Arabidopsis thaliana: one gene and its partners. The protein of the gene in region 2 purifies or fractionates together with the protein of the main gene of each other region. This does not show direct contact. Each region holds a gene or a part of one and is shown on either strand. Other genes may lie near its edges.

The links.
Region 1: the proteins of AP19 (region 2) and HAP13 fractionate together in Arabidopsis thaliana (co-fractionation; one large-scale study listed by BioGRID). This does not show direct contact.
Region 3: the proteins of AP19 (region 2) and AT1G10730 fractionate together in Arabidopsis thaliana (co-fractionation; one large-scale study listed by BioGRID). This does not show direct contact.

What each region holds. Positions count from the first base shown.
Region 1 is NC_003070.9:22,368,333-22,374,227, forward strand, and holds HAP13 (Clathrin adaptor complexes medium subunit family protein), read right to left. Parts: upstream 3,892-5,895; 5' UTR 3,554-3,891; coding exon 3,425-3,553; intron 3,061-3,424; coding exon 2,914-3,060; intron 2,815-2,913; coding exon 2,752-2,814; intron 2,609-2,751; coding exon 2,432-2,608; intron 2,349-2,431; coding exon 2,245-2,348; intron 2,142-2,244; coding exon 2,034-2,141; intron 1,895-2,033; coding exon 1,798-1,894; intron 1,713-1,797; coding exon 1,615-1,712; intron 1,503-1,614; coding exon 1,361-1,502; intron 1,260-1,360; coding exon 1,137-1,259; intron 1,056-1,136; coding exon 957-1,055; 3' UTR 621-956; downstream 1-620. Other genes in the region: AT1G60770 (Tetratricopeptide repeat (TPR)-like superfamily protein), read right to left, coding at 89-316. UniProt on the Arabidopsis thaliana protein: Subunit of clathrin-associated adaptor protein complex 1 that plays a role in protein sorting at the trans-Golgi network and early endosomes (TGN/EE).
Region 2 is NC_003071.7:7,551,479-7,555,800, reverse strand, and holds AP19 (associated protein 19), read right to left. Parts: upstream 2,810-4,322; 5' UTR 2,680-2,809; coding exon 2,677-2,679; intron 1,847-2,676; coding exon 1,760-1,846; intron 1,671-1,759; coding exon 1,579-1,670; intron 1,494-1,578; coding exon 1,385-1,493; intron 1,286-1,384; coding exon 1,250-1,285; intron 1,162-1,249; coding exon 1,075-1,161; intron 986-1,074; coding exon 914-985; 3' UTR 638-913; downstream 1-637. Other genes in the region: HMG2 (3-hydroxy-3-methylglutaryl-CoA reductase 2), read right to left, coding at 3,820-4,071, 4,192-4,322. UniProt on the Arabidopsis thaliana protein: Subunit of clathrin-associated adaptor protein complex 1 that plays a role in protein sorting at the trans-Golgi network and early endosomes (TGN/EE).
Region 3 is NC_003070.9:3,563,414-3,568,664, reverse strand, and holds AT1G10730 (Clathrin adaptor complexes medium subunit family protein), read right to left. Parts: upstream 3,409-5,251; 5' UTR 3,203-3,408; coding exon 3,074-3,202; intron 2,934-3,073; coding exon 2,787-2,933; intron 2,681-2,786; coding exon 2,618-2,680; intron 2,508-2,617; coding exon 2,331-2,507; intron 2,257-2,330; coding exon 2,153-2,256; intron 2,061-2,152; coding exon 1,953-2,060; intron 1,829-1,952; coding exon 1,732-1,828; intron 1,638-1,731; coding exon 1,540-1,637; intron 1,440-1,539; coding exon 1,298-1,439; intron 1,223-1,297; coding exon 1,100-1,222; intron 985-1,099; coding exon 886-984; 3' UTR 559-885; downstream 1-558. Other genes in the region: AT1G10740 (alpha/beta-Hydrolases superfamily protein), read left to right, coding at 1-49, 118-322; AT1G10720 (BSD domain-containing protein), read right to left, coding at 4,219-4,704, 4,798-4,985, 5,086-5,251. UniProt on the Arabidopsis thaliana protein: Subunit of clathrin-associated adaptor protein complex 1 that plays a role in protein sorting at the trans-Golgi network and early endosomes (TGN/EE).

The DNA of each region.
Region 1 (5,895 bases), on a different chromosome or scaffold from region 2:
TTTCTATATGTATTCAACAGATTTGAAGCAAATGCTTATTGTGAAGCTAATCCTAGAGAATCGAAAATGCAATTTGGATTTATGAAACCTTGAGAGCTGGGTAATAGAGGCCGCGATTTCGGAGTTTCTTGATCGTATCGCCGACCTCCCATTTGAAGACGTGTTTAGTGCCTTTGAGGAACTGATTAAGCTGCTGTCGAACTTTGACCTCTGTACCACCATCTTTGAAGAGGCGATTGTACAGAGGTTCTTCGATGTACTTCTTTGTCGATCTCTTTGTAACGTCTCTCGATCGGCTCAAATGTCGCATCGCCATTTTCTCGTCGGAGCAGTAAACAACGACAACGAGAAGGTTTTTTGAGTAAAACCCTAATTCACTGTCACTTCCCAAGCTCGAAACAGAATTGGAGGAGAAAGTATGGTGATTATGGGCTTTTTAATGGGCCTGACGATTATTTCATTTCGGCCCATACTATATCAGTTAAACAATATGAGAAACACCAAAATATACGTTCTCTCTATTGTAAGGCTCTCTCACCTCACTCTATTGAAGCATAATTTGTTTATGTAGTTTCATTTTGATCATAACTCGAGAGAAACCTATGTAAACATAGACGAATGCCCCAAAAAACAAAACCAAAACCTCAACGTTTAACAATTTTGATCGCAGAACGAACACATAGACAGAAATGTAGCAGTCTAAAGGAAAATAATGAACCATGTCGTGAAAGGTTACAGAGAGCCTCATGTAAAATAAAATAGAATCACCATAAAGACAAATTCACAAGAATATGGCTTCTAAAACAAATTAAAGGAAAATTTGATCAGCTAAAATGTTTCAAAACGTTTTCTTTTCCCTCTACTTTTGTCCTGTTTCGTTTTGCTTCTTTGATTCAGGCAATTCCTTGAGGGATGTGGGAATCACAATTGACATAGACGATGAAACTAAATGTGCATTACACGAGTCTTAGTTCGTACTCACCAGCCATGGTTATGTATCTCACCCATGGAAGTGCTTGGTACCCACTCTTCTCAATAATCTTTAGGTACCGAACCTACACACCAAAGAACATATATATTATATATATGACATTGTGGAAGAGACAGTAACCATTTATTATTAAGCACAAGCTTACCTGAATCCCTGAAACAGTGAAATAAGGGATCTCAAATTTGACACGGATAGGAGCCTTTCGCTCAGGAGTTGCTTCCTCTGCAGTGATACTTGGAAGATGGAACTCTGCCCTTAACATGTACTCCTATATTGGTTTTCTGAAGGTTAGCATTGATACTACATAGTCTACATTGCTGACTGTTTCAACTGAATTTAAGAGTTTATTGAACCTTGTTAGTGTTATACCTTGTTCCCCGGGAAAGATTTGATTTTCCAGACTAACGCATCTTTTTCAGGAGCATAAGAGGCAGACCCTAGAGATGTCCTAACGGTGGGGTTAGATGCATCGGTTGGTACAGGCAACTCAATCTCAACGTTCGTTGCGGTGCTACAAAAAGAATGTTCGTGATCAAAGGTTTAAAGAATCTGATCAATCAGGATCTTTGCATGACAGTAAGACAGAAAAGGAAAGTGGCACAAATACCATAGAATATATTTACCTTCGTTCCTTGAACTGACTTCTAGCTTTTATGAGCATCTCAACACGACTTCTTGAATGACTTTCTATTTGTGCTTCCACCCATATAAGTGGCTTTACCTGAACATAAAAGAAACAAATCATGATATTTACTTGTTGAAGACGTGGAACAATTCCAGTAGATGCTATATCCCACATGTCAAACCTGAGTGCTGAGTCTATATGTCATCAGATCAAAAGCCCCATCAGGTGGTATGAAAGATATCGTCCTATCGTTTTCAAAACGGGCCAATCGAACACACCTGCATTAAATAAATGGTTGTTGAAGAAGAGAATACATAAAACTCAAGTATATAATCTTTTTGAACAAAAAGAAAATAGAAGGGTTAAGATCAGTGAAGACTTTCCAAGTTTCAATATAATAAAAACTTAAAGACGTACTGATGAAATTTGATGTCCTCCAAATCAATGGCTTTTCCCTTAGTTGCTCGTCCCTGCGCTTCCAGCAATACTCTATCATTCAGTCCTAACTTACACTCTGGCATTCCACTGCAATAGAATGGATCAAAGAGCAAAATAGTCAAAAAGGGACGTGATTTAACATGCTTTGGCTGATTAGGAACTATATCGTAAATTTGATGTGTTGACATACGTCAAGTAAGTTCGCATCTTCAGCGCTCCAACAACATCAGACCTGACAATTTGCCCATTACTGTTGACAAGAATATTTACATTCTCAATAACATCCAAGAAAACCTGGAAAAAGAAGCAGGTTGTCATTATTTGCAAACCGAAACATCAGAAACATATTCCTATCTTGCGAAAACAATGGCACTCACTTCATTCTTCTTGTACTGTATTCCCTCACTCCTCCAGGAGACAGCATTCGTCACAGCCATTGGAGGTCTCTGTGTAACTTCCATTCTATATGCATCAGTCTTGATGAATTCACTGAGAATTCTTGCTTCGGTATACTGAGGGTAACCAAAGTCCATCATCTCGTCAAGTAGCTCATACTGCCAGCACCAAAAAATCAATTTCAGCATCTAACAATGACAAATACTTTTCCAAAATTTTAAGGATCTTTTTGATTGCCCAAGTAATAGAAAAATATATTGCGAAATAGTACTAAAAGAGCGATGACAGAAGCTTAACATACCACTACCACAAAGTTATCCCTCAATGATTCCTCTTCTAACTCCTCGAAGTAATGCTTGAAAACCTATAACCAGATAACAGATACCATTGCCATTACATCAAATATCCAGGAAAAAGATGGAACCTTAAGAGAAAAACTAAAGAATTGACCAGCCATACTTACATCGACAACGCGGTGAAGAAAGAAGAGAAGACTGGCAGCATTACAATTCTGCCTGGATGCTATCATCAAGTATACATTACTATGTTGTACAAACATATAAGTCACCCCATTATCGTAAGCAACTGGATCATTTGACTGTGAATCACCCTGAACAATTAAACAAAACGATGATTACTCTGATTTAAACCAGAATGCTTCAAAAGTACAGATTCAAATCAAATTCTAATCCAAAACATTTAACCAATGATCAAACTTGTTCATTACTTCCAAAAAATTTCAGCGGCATCAGATCACAAAGACTGATACGAATCCATTATCTTCAAAATTCATTTCCAGTGCAGATGAAAATGGACACGAATCCATTATCTTCGAAATGTTTCAATTCCAATTGACGAATCTTTCAAACACAAATCTACAAGTTCGTTCGCTAACTCTATGTTTCTCTGAAAATTCTACAGTAACCAAGCAATAAACAAAGACCAATTAGCGATAAGAGGAAGATCAGAACAACCTCTTTCTCGATGAGCTTAGTGAAGAATCGCTCGGCTTGAGCAGCGGAGACATCGCCACGATAATCACGCCAGACGAGAACGCGTCCCTTGATATCAAGCAGAAACAGCGCGGAGGCAGCTCCTGCCATGTTCTTCCCTAAGAGTTTCGATCAGATCCAAATGGGGATGATTAATCAGCGAGATCTGATGAAATTATGGTTCTATAGAGGAAGAAGTAGCAACAACATCTAGATGGAGATTGACGCAGATCTGCAGCTCAGATTCTCCATTTCGCAATTTTTTTTTTTTTTCTGGCGATCTGATGATTTCGTTATCGATCCTTGTGGTTGGATTAAAAAAAAAAACGGAAGAATTTAAGAAAATAATAATATTCAGAAGCAAAGAGCTCTGCCTTTCACCCAGACGGTATCGTTTTACTTTTTCCGTCAAATTTAATACCATCGAAAGTAGAAGGAGAGTCAATGAAGAAAGTCATCATTGAAGAAGAAAGGCCCATTGGATCATTACATAAAGTCAGGCCCATATAGGTTGGGTTTCGTAGGTTAAAATTATTAGGTTAACGACGAATTAGTATAAAAATAGGTTTGTAATGAATCAAGGATAGAAGTAAAACCTAAAATCGAACATATGCGTTTTTCACAAAAACTTTAGGGGAATCTAGGGTTTGTGTAGTGTCACCACCATGAAATCGTGAGGACTATCAAGTATAAACTAGAAAACTGTCATGGGGTATGATCGAATGTTTGTGTACTCATTTTTCGTGGATATGAAGATATGCAACATTTGATCATTCTCCATGATAGTATTCTAGTTCGATATATAAAATTTCAATAGAACACTGCAACATGAAGTGTTTTGTATACTTAGCTTGATTGCTAGCATATTTACGTATATTACCTCCTATGTGTTGATGTTCACACGACAACACAATTTCACTGGTACCAATCATTCCAACAAATTATAACTCGGTCTCAGGGATTGTATATTTTGTTGGATTGATTGGTAACATGAAATTTTGAATTTTTGAATTTTTGATGTTACCGGTGTGAGTGTATACTTTGTTGGATTGATTAGTACGATTGCATACTTTGTTGGATTGATTGGTACACAATAAAAGCGTTTGAAAGTAATAGATTTTAAACCTTTCTAAACCATGTAGTGAACTTGAAGCTTATTCAAGCAGTTTATTACTTTCAAACTTGATATTTTGTTACATAGCTAGTTTGGCTCTTAAGTTCTCATCATAAAGATTATGGGATCTTAATGAAGACGTAATAGCCCTTATCTTTTCACATGTTTTGAGTATTTGTCAATTATATATGCGTCCTCTTGTTCTGTGACTATCTTAGTCTTTTATAAATACTATATATATATGCGTCCTCTTGTTCTGTGATTCATAGGACAATGGTAATGCAAGACTCGGAACTTAACTAATATTGTGATCGCCTTATTGATCTTCTCCCTATACCGCTATACGTAGTGAAATTAATAGTTTGTAATGTAGAATGCTAATAAGATAGAAGTGTACTTTTTGGCAAGACACTAATTATAATGACTAATTTATCAAACATAAGAGGAAAAAATCAGAGATATGTTACTTCATAGTTTACAAATGAATCATGGGCAATAAGTCTTGAACTTAACTAATATAGTGTTAGTTACGTTAAGTGATGATGAACTTGTCTTGAAGTACATCATAGTCAACATACGTATTAGAGATAGTTACATTTGGTTTACATTATTGGTTAACTTTATTGGTTTACATTATTGGTTAACTTTAACTAATAATGTAAACCAAATGTAACCATCTCTAATAATACGTACAATTCTATTTATTTTGTACGCTCAAGAAAGACCAGATCAATTAACCGCAATACAAAGATCCGATTGACTATCGCAAAAATGCATATATGACGGGAACACTACATATAGTAGAGACACAAATTCATTATGTGGATATAGACATTATGTTAAAAATTGGAGTCTTTAATCAAACACTAATAATATCGTTTACAAATTTCTAGAGAGTACAAAAAAAAAAAATCTTCTTTATCATATTTTCGCAGTATTAATCTTTGGTATATTTAGATGCAACTTCTACGGTAAGAATTCGTCAACCATTGAAGCAAAGAAGAAGAATGAGATTAAAGAAAAATGGGGTTAAAGTCAAACGTATAATATGGTCAACAAATAGAGACGACATTGACCAAAAAGATTCAAAACTTTGAAACTAGACTCTCATCTCGTTACTTCATTCATTACTTGCACTGAAAAAAATAGTATATAAAAAAGGGTTAGAATATAAAAATTAATCAAAAGTAATAAGTGCAAAATAAATTCATATATCTTAGAGTCACGCGTTTCCTCGGGTTCCCTATTGTTCATTAAAAACCTATTTGAGTCTTTTGAATATTCACTCACTCTAACACACATTCTTCATTTCTTCAATGATCACACACACATTCTTGAG
Region 2 (4,322 bases):
AGGAAGATCTCTCAGATTGGAATTGAAACGTGATCAGAAAAAATCCAAAAGTATGGTGAAGACGATCGATACCTATCGAAGCTTGAGGAGCTGAAGAACCAAAAATTATGAAAACCCCCAAATGAAAATGTTTTTGTGGCAAAGAAAACGGATATTCTTTCCCTCATTTTTAATTTCAATAATTAAAAAAAATTATATATGGAAAGATGAATTATTATCATTACTATAAATTATTGGATTGGTAAGAACAAGACGCAGTCACGTTTAAGTTTGGGTATACAAGTTTCGAGTCCTTGAGCCCAAGCCCATAAGTGTCTGTTTCTTCTCCACTATTTTTGGTGTTACCATCAAACATTCTTCATGTATTTGAAATCCTATAGATTATTTTGGTGAAACAAGTACTAAGGAGCAAACAGGGCAAAGTGAGAAAAGGGACATTGGCGTTGCTTTTGTGAGGAGAAAGGATAACTCTTCGAGCGGATACCTCCTCTCATGGCGGATCACGGTTACACAAAATGAGGTTAGGTCGCCCGAATTACAAAATTAGGCACGTTGAAGAAGAAAGAACGAGACACTGGCATGTTGTTTGGTGCATCAGTCCTCAGGCTCAAAAACCAATTCTATTCAATCAATCGGACAAATTATAATTTCGAGATGATGAACTTGATGAAATTTCAGCATTCCACGTTTTAAAACGTAACATATGTGAAAAAATAGTATACCATTTATGATTTCGCAGATCAATCACTACTTTTAAACCCAAAACGATGAATGCTTCTTTCTTCTAATCAATCAAACAATCACATGACATGACAAACAAAAGTGTGATTCAGAAGAGAATATCTCAGAGTTTAAGGAAAATATTAACTCATTTACGATTGTTTCAGCTGCATAAGAAAAGTTCAGAAAAGGACTACTTGGTAGCCTGAGCAATTATATTACTTATGGAACTCGCCTCCTCTTTCGCAACTTCCACCAATTGATCCTTCAAATATTATAACACAACATCATTTACACAACCCTTACGGACTAATCGTTTTTGTCTCAGTGGGCATTAGGATTAAGAAACCATACCTGGGCTGATATTATCCTTGCAACTGTTTTCTTGCTTGACTCTTGAAGTTCTCCGGCGATCAACAGCTCATCGAGTATATAATACGCCTAGAACAAAACAACCAGATTCGAAAATTGTCATATTGAAGTAAAATACAGAGAGTAGAGAATCATTGATAGAGTTGAGTATGTATACCTTGTGGAAGTTAAAAATCAAATCGAGTTCACACACCTGAAGATCATAGAATAAACAGCTCTTAATCAAAATCTAGATGTTTTGTAAGGTTATGATAGAGTGGTAGGAGTATATTTTGGATAAGCGTTTACTCACACTGCCAAAGTAGCGGTCAAGAATCTCGACGTAGTGATGAATTATCTCCAGTACCTCTAACTCGTTATCCGCCTCATCAATGCACATGCAGAAGTACAAGCTTGCATATCTGCAAAATTACAAAACCATCATGTTTATAACCATTGTTTTTAAAGTAGCAAATACATGCTACTTATATAAAATATGTCTATTACCTTTTGTAGACAACCTTGTATCCTCTCCATTCAATAAAATTGCAGAGCTTGGGACCTCGGTTCAGAATCACTCCACTGAGTTCACGTATGACCTGTCCAGATCATTTTTCCAAATGTAAGATTAAATAGGCATGCAAAGCATAATGCGGCATTAACTCAATAACACTTAAGCTGTACATACCTTAGATCTTTCCTTCTGCGTATACGGCGAATACCACTTGGTGAGCCTTACTTTCCCTTGTCGACTGACTAGTAACACGAAATGTATCTGAAAATACAAACATAACCCAAAACAGCCACCTTAGAAGTTTTTTTTTTTCTTTTCAAGAAAGCATTATTCTATCATTGTGAATGGCAATACATAACACATTAATTAGTTTTTGACGTCTCCTCACCCATATCAAGCATGAGAAAATTCTAGAATCACAAAGACAGCATCGAGATAAAGAGAATTAAAACAAGACCAGACAAAACCAGTAGTATATATCACGATTTCTGGCAACTCATAAAGATTTGAAATGCACATAATTGCATAAGGCAAGCAAAAGAGGGAATTGTGAGAGATCAAGTACCAGAACTTGAGAATCATTTACCATCATACACCTAAACGCAAGCCACAAGCATCTCAAGAAAAGTTTTTAAACCATTTAAAGATATGGAAAGATGGAGAGATCAACGAGCTTATTTTGCCAATTCAGAAACAGAGGCAAATAAAGAGATGTGAGGTACATGAACTAGCTTAGACCCTATTACATTTGAATCCAAGAAGCTTAATTACTTCAAGAGCAATAGTGGTTCAAAAACAATGAATTGGATTTAATAACTCACAAGAGATTCGAATGGGCAACAGAAACATAACAATTTCAAGCTTCACGAAACAAACTAATCCTTTCACTTCCTAAATAATCGATCAATTCGTAAGCGAGAAAAGAACCGGACAGATCCAAGCAGAAATCTACGGATACCGGAGGATTAGATTCAATTTCATCATCAAATCAAATCGTAGATACTCGATGCAATAGTACAAGATCGAAGGCAGATCCAAAATTCGAACAGATAACAGAGAAGCCCAAAAGCAAAGGGAGTGGCGATTGTTACCATTTTTAGCCGATTGAAGGAAAATCTTTAACAGTGAAGCTCGATTCCCAGAAGAGATCTCCAGAAGCTGATGATCGTGGAAAGTATTCTTCTGTGTCCGATACACATATAAGTTTGTTGGATACGGATCTTGTCCCGGGTCGGAGTTTTTTTTTTTTGAGGGACCCGGGTCGGACTCTTTAAAAATTTACTTTTTATTTATTTTTCTTCAGTTGGTTTTGTATTTACTGGGGTAGTGTTTTAAATCTGGACCGTTAAACAAACAAGATGAGGACTGATCTGACGGTCCGACTTAATCGGATTGCATTTTTACAGATTAAAAATTGCAACAAAATCACAACTTTTTATTAAAAGGTTTAGGCAATTTTTCAAAATGAGATATTATTGTTGTAAAAGTTAGAACAAAGGAGGAAACAAAATATCAACAATTGATGTGCAACCTGAAAATATTGAGAGTAAATTATAACTTGTATGAGCCTCAGCGTCACTATGCATGCATAATAATTTACATTTTTACGTCTATATAAATGATCAAATTTGTCGTAACATAAAATTCATTACTTCAATTGTAAGAGAAGTAATCAGAAATCAATAATAATAAAACTCTTACTCTCTTTGGTTTAAAATCAATAATGATTGTTGGTTTAGCTCTCTGCACAGTCTCTACTGCTTACTTTCTAAGATATCATCAAAGACCCATACACACACATGCCATGAGGAGAGACTTCATTGCCTCAAATGCTTCATTTGTCAAACTACCATATCACTCCTCCATCGTCTGCAATATTCACAACTACATTTCTACATTTATTAGTAGTACCTAACTCTGTCACGTACATAATCATCACAAAGCAAACACTGCCACAATAATCTATTCAATGTTAGAAAAAAAAATCATGGCTTTAAAGCTTAAACCGCAATTTAATTACACATTTTGATGCTAAGCTATGATATTAATATAAGCCATAAAGATGGAAGGACAAAAGACTTTACATAAATTAAGAAAATTTGGAGACTTAGTACAAAATAGATAGAAAAGAAAAGAGATCGATGAAGAAGAAATCAAATGAAGTTAGAATTACATCAAATCTAATTATGGGTTTTTGTTGTTTTATTATTATCCGTCTCATCGTGCTCCAAACATCACCTGTTGACTTGAGACGAAGGGCCAATGTCTCTGCTGGATCTGTTGTATTTCATGTGACTCTTCACAAGCTGTCCAGCTGCAATAGCAGACATTAGTGAAAGCTCTCCTGCAAGAACCGAACCAGCCACTATTCTTGCCAATTGCTGTGCGTTCGAGCCAGGTTTCTCGTTGTTTGATCCTTTCACACCGAGTAGATTCAAACAAGCTGCTTGTGATGCAAGTTGTGTCCCACCTCCAACAGTACCAACCTGGAGTCACATCAATAAACAAAACATTCATGAGTTGGATCCAACAATAATTCAAAAAACTAACGGCTTTGTGTTCTCTGCAATAATGGGTTTAATTTCAAGATAGAACATGCATTATACCTCAATGCAAGGCATTGAAACAGAGATGTGAAGGTCGTCACCATCGGGAAGAATCATGGTCATACAGTGTGAGCTCTCCACGTTTTGAGCTGGGTCTTGGCCAGTGGCGATGAACACAGCGCTGACAATAT
Region 3 (5,251 bases), on a different chromosome or scaffold from region 2:
GGTTCATAAGGAGCGATTCGGAATGTCAAACATTACAACCCGGGATCTGGTAAGTGAATCATATATGACCTAATGACGTTGATGGATTGAGAAAATCTGAATACCTTGTTGTTGCAGGTATTATAAGATAGTGGAAGCAGATCACATAATGTTCATAGTGAACAGAGAGAGAGCTGGTGTTCAGTTTGATCTGATATACGACAGCATCTTCCAACGTTGCAGGAAACATGTTTTTAGAAAGATTCCTCAGACTCTCCCCAATCAATCTCCTTCTTCTCCTCGTTCATCATCATCACCCAGAATAAACAACTTTGTACATTGATCACATGCAAAAAAAAAATGTTTTAGGGTTGTTACGTTGAGGGCTTAAGTTTTTGTTTAGGCTATTTACTACTAATACAGATTATTCATTGTTCTTCTTGTTCTCCTCTCGATTTGTTGTACTGTAAAATATATATCTTCCATTTTGAAAATTATAATATTTGTTAGTTCGTCATGTTGCTCTACTGCCTCATCAAAGTTATTTATATAGTGAACTCTTACAAAATTAGCGGACGTTTAAGGAAAACCATTATTGGTGTAGTCACCCAGACTGCATGCATTTTCCATCGGTAAACGAACTGAAAGAACCCCAAATAAAACTCGATGTTTAACAATTGTAACCCAATATATATATAACTGTCGTATATAGTTTTACAGAAAAAAAAAAAAAAAAAAGAGAACGCCATGAAACAATTCACAAGAAAATGGCTTCTAAAACAACCTTCACCGCAAATTCTATCAGCTAATATATTTCAATCTTTTTCCTTTTCTCATTGATCTTCCTCTGCTTTGTGTCGTTGACAATGGCTTAAATAATAGTAAAAACAAAAAAACGATCTCATTTTACATGAGTCTCAGTTCGTACTCACCAGCCATGGTTATATATCTCACCCATGGATGTGCCTGGTACCCACTCTTCTCAATGATCTTCAGGTATCGAACCTGCAATACCCATAATTAACACACATCAGGTTTGTTTGCCTTCAGATTTCAATGCAGTAATATAAAAAGAATGTGATCTATATGATAATAACGTATCATTGTGAGTAATACCAACCTGTATTCCTGAAACTATGAATTTTGGGATCTCAAATTTGACACGGATTGGAGCTTTTCGCTCAGGCGTTGCTTCCTCTGCGGCTATACTTGGAAGATGGAAATCTGCTTTCAATGTATGCTCCTACATTGTTTCAAAACTTAATGTAAGCATTCGACTTTACATGGTCAAGTGTTACATTAAACTATAAGAACTTACCTTGTTCCCATAGAAATATTGTATCTTCCAGACCAGTGCATCTTTCTCAGGAGCATATGCGGCCGACCCGAGAGATGTTCTTACATCGGGGTTATACGCATCAGTTGGTACAGGTAACTCAATCTCAACACTTGTTGCATAGCTGCAGAAAAAAGGAACTCTTATCAAAACGCGTTAAAGGATTCCAGTATTTCAGTATTTCAGGTAATGGTTAAACGTGTTAAGTAACATTTGTTACTTACCTTCTGTCCTTGAATTGGCTTCTAGCTTTTACTAGCATCTCAACACGACTTCTGGAATGCCTCTCTATATGCGCTTCCACCCATATAAGAGGCTTTACCTGAACAAGTATTATGCGAAAATAAGATATATCATGATATAATTCGTTTAAGAAGGGGACAAAACCATTTCTGCAATATTACACATTCTAAAACCTGAGTACTGAGTCTATACGTCATAAGATCAAAAGATCCATCAGGTGGTATGAATGATATTGTCCTGTCGTTCTCAAAACGGGCTAATCGAACACACCTACATTTTGAAGAAAGAGACGTGTAAAAACTCAAGTATTCAATAATTTTTCGAGTTAGTAAAAAAATTGGCCTCGATAGAGTGACTGTCAAAGAATGTTTAAAGTTGCAAGAGATTAACGTACTGATGAAATTTGATGTCCTCCAAATCAATGGCTTTTCCTTTTATTGCTCGTCCCTGTGCCTCCAACAATATTCTGTCATTCAAGCCTAGCTTACACTCTGGCATTCCACTGTAATAACATGGATAAAGAAGCAGAGAGTCAAAGAGGAGGGACTTTTGATTTTAAATGCGTTGGTTAACTAGGGACACTAGAGAACGCACCTCAAGTATGTTCGCATCTTCAAAGCTCCAACGACATCAGACCTGACAATTTGCCCATTACTGTTCACAAGGATATTTACACTCTCTATCACATCCAAGAAAACCTGGAAAACAAAACATCAGTCTGCAAACATTAGAAAACCTAAAACAATTGAAAAGTAAAATGTTGAGCACCTACTTCGTTTTTCTTAAACTTTAACCCCTCACTCCTCCATGAGACAGAATTAGTGACAGCCATTGGAGGTCTCTGTGTAACTTCCATTCTATATGCATCAGTCTTGATGAATTCACTAAGGATTCTTGCCTCAGTAAACTGAGGGTAACCAAAGTCCATCATCTCGTCAAGTAACTCATACTGCCAGTAACATAAGTAAATGTTTTTAGAAATAACTTTCGCCCACACATATCCACCTCATGCAAGAGGGAAAACAGTTATAAGAAGAGATGTGAGAAGCATTATCTTACCACTACCACAAAGTTATCTCTCAAAGATTCTTCCTCTAACTCCTCGAAGTAATGCTTGAAGACCTACGATCAGTATAAGACTGTAACATATGAAACAGTGCCGTTCTTTTTTCTTCAAATTCAGAAAACAGATGGAAATGCAAAAAACTGAATCACTAGGGATGCTTACATCGACTACACGATGCAAGAAGAAGAGAAGACTGGCAGCATTACAGTTCTGTCTGGACGCTATCATGAGGTAAATGTTACTATGCTGTACAAACATGTAGGTCACGCCATTATCATAAGCAACCGGATCATTTGACTGTGAATCACCCTGAACATATTAGACGAAAGTAAGCAAACCCGCAGAGAAAACACTAGTCATTTAGTCATAAGTATAACGATTCTGATCAAATTGAATCCTTTTAAGCACTGATCAAGCTTGTTCATTAGTTCCAAATGTTAAAACTTCACCTCTGTCTCGATGAGTTTGGTGAAGAAACGCTCAGCTTGAGCAGCGGTGACATCGCCACGGTAATCGCGCCACACGAGAACACGACCTTTGATATCGAGCAGAAACAGCGCTGAGGCCGCCCCTGCCATGTTCTTCTTCTTCTTCCCTCCTTGTTTTCTCAAGGATTTGCCGAATCAGATCGATCAAACAGACGGATTATTAATTCCAGAGAGATCTGAAGAATTTTACGCTTCGCCGGAGCTAAACGATCATTTGCTGCAGCTGAGTGGTGGTTCGTCGATAAAGTCACTTATTCACGACCTGACGAATTGGTTCTGACATAAAAAACGACGGGAGACTCGAGAAAGAAAGAAAAGTGCAGCTTATTAAATTGGGTTCAGCTTTGCATTATTCTGCGAAACGACATCGTATTACCAATCTTACTTGGTTTTTCTTTCTTTCTCTGTATTAGGGAAGCAATCTTACTTACGAAGATTTTAGATTAATTTTTATAAATCTTAAACTAATAATACCAAATTAAAAAAAAAAAATGAAAATTTGAATTGAATAACATCAGATTCTATATAATATTTTTAAATCACTAAAACTCTATATAAATCACAAACCAATAACACCCCTTAATTATTAACAAAGTACTAGCATTTTGACAAATGTTATACATTTCAACATAGATTTGTTTTTTAGTTAAGTCATAGGAGTTATTTTGTTAATTGATGATAGCTCCTCCTGGTTGTTCCCATTTTCATACATACAAATCCTCAACATAAGCAATAAAATCCCATATGATTTTCCAATCCAATAATGATTCTAACAGTTTGTTACACTTGAATTCACTTGCGCCATTCTCTATCAATTTCTTTTAAGTTCCACGCGAATGAAATAGTGCTTTTCAATATTTCATTACATTTGGCGAGAGAGAACATTACAATGAAATTGCAGTGTCAAAGTAAATCTTCTGTACATGTTTCAATCAAAACCTTTTTCTTTCTTTCTTCCTTCTCTTTGAGAGCAAACATCATAAATCCACAAAACAATCAAACTCACCCAAAAGACTTCCACGATTTGACTCAGCACACAGTACTTATGTTCAATTCTATTGATTCGATCTCGTGAGGCAGGGCAAAGCAACAAGCCAGATGATGTTTCATGTTCCTTTTTGGTCTGTGCCCTTTGATGTAATCTTAGACTTGAGTGCTAAGCTACTTATATCGTCGTCTCCTTCAAGATCACTGAAAGAAACATCATCCTCATTCACTGTAAACATTGGAGCCCAAGAATTAGCAGAATCTTCTTCTTCTGGCCAATCATCATCATCATCATCAACAACATCTTTAGATGTTTGGCTAAGGCTTGCACTATTTTTGTCGTTCTTCTGGATTGGTTTTTCCTCAATAACAGCTTTATCGATGAACTGAGCGTTTTCAAACCCGTGTTCAAAATCGCGATACATAATCGAAGGAGGTTCAAAAGCATATATTCTTGGAGAAAGAAACTCAGGAGGAGCATGGTTGTAGTAATTAGAAGTTGATGGTGTAATATCTTCTTCCTCAAGAATCATATCTCTACTTTCTTTTGAAGAATGTGTCTGATTCTGAAGCTCTTTCATCCACAATGCTCTAGCTTCCATCACCTGCAAAAGCAAAAGGATTTTGTTGAATAAACAACAGCAACAACAAAGAATCATTTTGACTCAAGAAGAGATTGAGATTCAGGTTTTTTTAACCTGTGGAGAAGACAAAAGATGAGCATCGTGTTTATTGAGCCTTGAAAGAAGAAGAACAAAATAGACTTTCCAGAAGTAACCAACACTCATATGACATGGACAAAGCTCTATTCTCAATGCAGCTAACCTCGGAGCAAGACGCTCAATAGCTAAAGCATGACCTCTTTGAGCATCACTCATTTCCAAATCTACATTAGATAAAAGTTGAAATAATCAAACTTTTGATATGCCTATAAGTCAAATCAATGAAGACTAATAGCGAAAGACTTGACTCAATGTATACGTTACCATCAAGATCTTCGTCAGGATCAAGAGGAAAATCCAACCAAGTTTCTGGATGCATTGCTATGTTCCTCGCAAATGCTAGCACTTCGTCTGTAAGAGCAACCGCAGCGATCTCTTCTTCTTCTTCTTCTTCTTCATCTGTTTCCTCTTCTTCTTCTTCCTCATCCTC